2 linked regions of the Tribolium castaneum genome follow. The protein of the gene in region 1 interacts with the protein of each later gene in a pairwise test. Links are inferred from orthologs where the notes say so. Each region holds a gene or a part of one and is shown in the gene's direction. Other genes may lie near its edges.

Evidence for each region.
Region 2: the proteins of stck (region 1) and ics interact in a two-hybrid assay, tested with the Drosophila melanogaster proteins (3 studies listed by BioGRID). The link is inferred for Tribolium castaneum from reciprocal best matches to the Drosophila melanogaster genes stck and ics.

What each region holds. Positions count from the first base shown.
Region 1 is NC_087400.1:2,455,694-2,459,622, forward strand, and holds the start of stck (LIM and senescent cell antigen-like-containing domain protein 1), read left to right. Parts: upstream 1-1,418; coding exon 1,419-1,600; intron 1,601-1,705; coding exon 1,706-1,822; intron 1,823-1,873; coding exon 1,874-2,179; intron 2,180-3,929.
Region 2 is NC_087397.1:10,354,967-10,358,472, reverse strand, and holds ics (ras suppressor protein 1), read left to right. Parts: upstream 1-1,453; 5' UTR 1,454-1,526; coding exon 1,527-1,674; intron 1,675-1,889; coding exon 1,890-1,940; intron 1,941-1,989; coding exon 1,990-2,229; intron 2,230-2,274; coding exon 2,275-2,357; intron 2,358-2,412; coding exon 2,413-2,660; intron 2,661-2,705; coding exon 2,706-2,790; 3' UTR 2,791-2,974; downstream 2,975-3,506. Other genes in the region: uncharacterized protein LOC103315046, read left to right, coding at 46-717; Nemp (nuclear envelope integral membrane protein), read right to left, coding at 2,984-3,113.

The sequences.
Region 1 (3,929 bases):
TTTCTTGAACGTGATTGGTTGCTTTGACAGTTTTCTTGTTTTCTTGCTCTTAGCTTGCATGAAGTGTTGAATTTTTCATTTTTCTGGTTGTTTAAAAGTTTTAAAATATTGTAGACTCTTCCGAATAATTGTTGGTAAGGACTGGAATGCTATTTTGAGTTTATTAACCCCTGTTCTCTTCAGTAGGCCTGGAAATAAATTAGTTACATATCGTGTTTTTTCTTCAATTTCCAGGTCTTACGACGAGTTGGAATTAACTGTACAGCAAAATGTCACCAATTCCAATGCCAGGGTAAGCATTCTGTTGTATTACGCAACTGTTAAAAGTTAAAGTAATTCATTAAAAAGTAGGCGTTGCCTCTTTAGTTGGTTGGTTTAATTCCGGAAGTTGTATCATTATTACTGTACTTAATAGTACAAGGTATGTTCTAAATTATTCACTCTGTATATCATTGATCCCCCATATTACTTGTATTAGAAATTTCACTTAAAAAAATGACCTATGTTTTGTATGTCAAGGTCATTTTTTATCAATAATGCCGTAATTACTGATAATCTCTAATTCATGTTTTTGTTTTCTGGATAAGAACGTGTTATAGTCACAAAATCGGAACTGCTGAAACAAAATCAATTGTTTCAGTTACAATACAGGGTGTCTCACCTAACTCTTCCATCTAATGTGACGTCACCATAAAGCTGCTGGACGTTTTAGTTCTTTTTCTATGATCAAATACTCAATTTTTTTTATTCCAATTCGTAAAATTGCACTAAAATTCAATATTTTCAATAATAATAAATATAAAAATACTGCATAGCTCGTTATAAAAAAGAAATAAAGTATAAAACATTAGTGTACAATACATAAAAGATAAGATAAGACAAGAAACGTCAGTATAATTAGAAAAAAATTCTTTTGCTTTGGATTTTTTATTAAACTGATAGAAAAAATAAAAAATTATAACCAAAAAAGCTATTAGTGTTTTAATTACTTCCCCTAGCAACGTGTTTTAAAATAAAATTTTCTATCAATAACACTCATACGAAAAGTTCTCGCATACGCTCGTTGCATAAGAAAAAATGGTGCGAAAAATGTAAAAAATACGAGATTCGTGCCAGGTCATATTTTTATTTACTTTGTGACGTCATTTTGCAATTAAGAGGAAAAGTTAAACACTTAGCAACATAAACACTATCTTTAGTCACAATTTATCTGTGGTTTCCGGTTGTGGTAACGAATTTTTGACAATTATTACCTTTATTATAATAAGCTTCTAACACTCACTCGTATAACTAGACCTACTATTACGTTTTGTTGGACTTGACGATATCTATACGATTTGTTGATTTAAGCCATAGATTAGATGTAGTTTACAAGGGGAAAAATCTTTTAGAGTGTTCGTGTGACATACATTAGATCAATGTTTTCGAAAATAGACTTGTCCCCAAGTATCCCATCACTGGGTTCAATCTCCCAAAGTAGGCTGTTTCAAAGAAGGGCCAACTCGAAAGATGATCTTTCAGAGGAATATCGCAGTTTCCAAGACATTGACTACGAATTTATCGACAAATCCGATTTACAACAACATGGCTTTTCACGCACGTAATAATTTTCACTCTTATTTATTATTAATTGTGGTTTTTTGACGAATGAAAAGAGATTACAACATATCGTATAACCCGTAAACAAGTGAGTGCTGGTTTCTAGGGTCACTTCGACCATGTCTCTGGACAACATGCTGTGTGCCCGTTGTGGCGACGGTTTCGAGCCGCATGAAAAAATCGTCAATTCTACTGGACAACTGTGGCACCAGCAGTGTTTTGTGTAAGTATTTTTTTTTTAATTTTTTTTTTTTTTTTAATAAAAAATCTCCAGCTGTGCCCAGTGCTTCCAAGAGTTTGATGATGGGATTTTTTACGAGTATGACGATCGCAAGTACTGCGAGAGAGATTTCCAGATTCTCTTTGCTCCGTGTTGTGGAAAGTGTAATAATTTTATCATCGGGCGGGTCATCAAGGCCATGAATGCCAGCTGGCATCCGGAATGTTTCCGTTGCGAGATGTGCGAGACGGAATTGGCGGATACTGGATTTATTAAAAATGCAGGACGGGCTTTATGTCATGAATGCAATGCCAAGGTTAAAGCCATAGGGTCGGGGAAACACGTCTGCCACAAGTGCCAGTAAGTATAATGACAGGAAATGGTTTTCATTTCGAAAAATTAAATAAAGGCGAACGTGGAGCTGTTTTTTTCTCTTTTTCTAGCAATTTTGCGAAATTTTATCAAAATTGGTCGAAAATTGCCTTGTTTTTGAACGGCTGTTTACTTTATTGTTTTCAGTCGAAAACTCAATGATTTATTTGAACAATTACTAAATGGGGGCAAAAATAAATATAAATTTTGCTTTTTTCGTCCGTATTTTACATTTTTTAGAGACTTTATTATTAATATTTTTCCAAAATTTGGTGGAAAAGACAATAAATGACCAAAACAGAGCGAAAATTGTGTGATTTGACCTCTTTTGCGTTAGCCAAAAATAACCAGAAAAAAAGTGGAGTGGGGTGGTGAGTATTTGAGCTAAAAACTGAGTTATTTTTGCAAGATTTTTCAATGTCAATCCGAAAAGTCACCAAATTAGATCGAAACTGATCCTCATACTACCTTTTTCAAGCGTTTAAACAAGGTTTTAAGATAAAAACCGATCGTTTTTCGGCTTTTAGTTCAATTTTTGAGCAATTATTTCGAATTTCGCAAAATTGCTCGAAAATCAATCGAAAATTGCGTTATTTTTGAACAGTTGTGCACTTTATAGTGCTAAAAACTCGAGAAATTAAATAGCTTTTAATTTTTTTGGACGCTTTATTGCAACTTTCTTCAGTCTAAAACTCAATTGTTTATTTGAAAAAAAAAAGAAAGACAGTTTTTCGTTTACAGAAACGACTATATTATTAATTTTTTTTTCAAAATTTGGTGAGATAGACGTCAAAAAATTTGGTCAAAGCGAAAATGGTGTGAAAACTGCGGATTTTTTTTAATGTGAGGCAAGAAAAAATGTTTTTATTGCCTTTTTTGGCCGTTTTTGTGCGTTTTCTTTGCATAAAAGTAAAATAATATTATTTAAAGTTGGAGATAATTTAGCTAACGGTTTGATATAGTAGTACATTACGTCAAAAATTAATTTGTTTTTTTTTGTTTTTTTTAAGTCTCTTGGCACGTTTTCCAATAAATTTTATTTTAAACATGTTTTACTGCTTTAATCTATTTTTTTTGTGGGAGATATTTGATATAAATCCACCGACAAATCATAAAATTTTGGTCGAAAATTGCGTTGTCTTTGAACGGTTGTTTACTTTATTGCAACTTTTTTGAGTCGAAATTATTTATTATTATTATTTGAACAATTACTAAATAGGGGCAAAAATAAAAATAAATTTTGCTTTTTTCGTCCGTATTTTACATTTTTTAGAGACTTTATTATTAATATTTCTCAAAAATTTGGTGGAAAAGACAATAAATGACCAAAACAGAGCGAAAATTGTGTGATTTGACCTTTTTTGCGTTAGCCAAAAATAACCAGAAAAAAAGCGGAGTGGGGTGGTTTAAACAAGGTTTTAAGATAAAAACCGATCGTTTTTCGGCTTTTAGTTCAATTTTTCAGTAATTATTTCGAATTTTGTTGGAAACAAATCGATGAAACACTAAATTCGGTCGAAATTTTCGCTAAATTTTATCAATAATCAGTCGAAAAACTTTAAAATTATCTCAAAAAGTGGTATACTCGTATTTTACCTTTTTTGTGAGGTAAAAACTTTGTTTTTCTAAGATTTTCTTTCTTGTTCTAGCAATTTCGCAAAATTGCTCGAAAATCAATCGAAAATTGCGTTATTTTTGAACAGTTGTGCACTTTATAGTGCTAAAAACTCGAGAAATT
Region 2 (3,506 bases), on another chromosome or scaffold:
TTACGCAAAATTGGGCGTGGGAGTAATGAATTTTTGGGTTTCCAGATGGGTGGGCGTAGGACCAAGGGGCTGTCACGGAACGCGATAATGGCCCGCGAAAATCGCCTTAAAAAGAAAATCTACATCACAAATCTTGAAAAAGAAGTTGGGCATTTGAAAACCGAGAATGCTAATTATTCCAAAGTGATTGAAAGTCAGTCGTTGCTTATCGCTGATTTAAAGAAAGAAATCAAATACTTGAAAAGTGTGATTGCAAATAGTGCAGATATTGGCAATTTGATAAAAAATATCCACCACAGTACAGGTATGTCAGTCACAACATCCTTGGATCAGAGTTTATCTTTGAATGTTTCAAAGCCAAAGCAAGCTATAGCTAGAAAAACAGCACACCCATGGGAGGAAAAACGTTACCCGAGTTTTCCCACACCTGAATCAGATTTTCTCTCAAGTCCACACTCTGAAAGTGGATTGAATGATTTTACTGACGATCTGTTCAATAATATTGAACTTGATGATTTTATGGGGGTCACTGATACGATTCTAGACCCTGTTTCGAATGAAACGAGTGAGGAGAACTTGCATTTAAAAGAGCACAATTATACTACGAATGAAGACGAAGACGATGTTGGAGTATGTTTACACGTTTCAAGACACAAGGTCTCGCTAGAGTTTTGCGCCACCTGCAGCGAAAACGCCCAACAAGCCTGGAACGACTGAATTAATTTAAAATGTCTGTATCTAAGTATACTTTGTTGTCTATGTATAGTCAAACTCTTTCCTTGCACTTAGGATTAAATGTTATTGTTACTAGCTAGTTTTGTGGAATTCTGGAGTATTATTGTTTTTTTAAATTTTCAGGACCTTCACGGATTGGAGATTGTAGCTTCAGAAGGATTTGCAGTCCACCTTCTGAAACAAAAGGTGCGGTAGCGTCCAATTTTGGTAAATCCCAACTTCTGAGCATTTTTATTATTAGTGAGGAATCAGAATTTGGGATTGTCATTTGTTTTTGTTGAATTGTTATTTTCACGCTTTGGTCTGATTTCAGTCAAAGACGCAGTCAAGTCACTTCAGGGCTGTAACAATGACTGGAATAAGTAGAGTAACAAATGTATCGTTCCATGTTATCATATACACAATATTTCGTTCTAGAAATCGTATATTTTTTCTATTTGTTCAACTTCTACTAAACAAGTATGTTTTTGAGTTTCAGCACATAGCGCAGAGTCCAGGGCCGGGCCGCATTCCGGATTATTATAAGTTTTTTTATTTAATATTAGGTAATAGGTAGGTAGTGTAAGGAAAGGGTCAAATAAACTTTTGTATTTATGTTCCAACTGTCTTTATTCTACTTCCTTCCATTAATTAGCACAAACGTGTTTGTTAATCCAATTAGCTCACTGCACGTAACAAAAACTTGGCAAGTGTCCAGTCAGACCACTGGCAAGTGAAAAAGTTCACTTCGAGCGTGGCTTTCAACGTGGTCAGTTGCTTTTTAAATTTGACGGGCTTTTCGTGCGCGCGCAATGAATCAAGCACCAGTTTCGTGCCTTCCAAACACAAGCAAAATGTCTAAGGCTAAAAAGGTTTTAGACGAAGCTCGGGAAATAAGAAATCTCGAAATTGATTTGGCCGATAAGGCCATTTCTTCGTTCGAAGAAACACCAGGTTTACGTAAGTGGAATCACTCCTCGGCAAGGTTTTACCTAATTTGGTATCTTGTTCCACCTGGGTGGGCGTGGCCCAAAATTAACTAACATTCCCAAGAAAAATAAATAAATAATAATACAATTTTTTATCTCTAATAATGGGGAATAAGTTTTACTACATAGATAATAAGATAAATAGAATTATTAATAGAACACGGAACTGATTGATTTATTTTTTAGTTAATATGACTTACATTACCAGGCTTACGCTAAGCCACAACAAGATCAAATGTAAGTGGGTGCTTCCGCCCTTGGGCCGTAAACTAAAAACCCTTTTTAGCCGTACCGCCGGCTCTTGCAAACTTGACGAACCTCGAAATTTTGAACTTAACAAACAACCACATTGAGGAACTCCCCCTTTCTTTATCATCAATGCCAAAGTTACGAATTCTCAACTTGGCAATCAATCGTCTTTATAATCTTCCTCGCGGCTTTGGCGCCTTTCCAGTTCTTGAAGTTCTCGATCTGACTTACAACAATTTGAACGAAAAATCACTCCCAGGAAATTTCTTCATGATGGGTAATTTACAATTGGTTCCCTCCAAATGATTAATTTTTGATCTAGAAACGTTACGAGCCCTGTATTTGGGCGACAACGACTTTGAGTACCTACCTCCCGAGGTGAAAAATCTCAAAAACTTGCAGATTGTAAGCAAATATTTGACGTTATGTTATTTGAGGTGGGAATAACGGGGTGTTTCAGTTGGTTTTGAGGGAAAACGATTTGATTGAGTTACCAAGAGAGTTGGGGGAGCTGACGAGACTGCGTGAGCTCCATGTGCAAGGAAATCGCCTCACGATACTGCCCCCTGAACTCGGGAATCTCGACATGACGTCGAATAAGTCTGTTTTTAGGTTTGAAGGCAATGAATGGGTGGCTCCTATCGCGGATCAGTTGCAACTAGGAGTCGGGCATTTGATGGAATATTTGCGCTCAGAGGCTTACAGAATGTACGTTTTATAAAACTTTAATTTAGTTTAACGTTTGTTTTTCAGAACGTACAATCGCTACTCGACTAATAAACCACAAGTTCCACCACCTTGCGTCGACAAAGCGAAAAAAATATCGCGAATACGTTGAACTCGTGCCTTTTTTTACCTAATTAATTGACTAATTAACTAAAACGAAAAATACTGCCATTATACTAATTACGTTTTTTTTTATTTGATTTTTGTGGCCTTGGATGTACCAGCTTTAAGTAAAAATTAATTGTATTTTACAGTTTTTACAATAATGCAAATAAGTAAATAAATAATTAACGAAATTGTCAGTCTTAAAAACACTGCTCATCCTCCGTATATTCACTCTCATCGTCCGTTAAATCCGTCGTGTGGATCGACGTTTCGTACTCTAGAATTTCCTCATCACTCAAATGCGAATTGCCTTCCATAAACGACGCAAATCTGAAAAAAAACTTAGATGGCGCCACTTGTGCTAACTTGACCATAGACAGTAACCTATAGAACTCCTACGTATTTTTTGGAAACGCACGGAAAAAAAACGAAATTAAAAAAATTCTCTGTTGACTAATAGTCACAAATAATAAATTCATTAGATTATGAGAATTTGCAGCGTGCAAAGTTGTTATAAAATATCCTGGACATTTTGTGGAGTGGATTAAAAAGACGGGTAACAAGCTGTTATCAACTTTTTCTTAATCAGAAAGTGTATAAATAGCTACGCTGTCTGTTGACTTCATTTTACCAGCGTTGGGCAAAAGTGTGGACCCAAGCGTTTTTGCTTAAATTATGTGCCTTTCGAAAAAAAAAAAAACATCAAGTACTTTAAAAATGTGA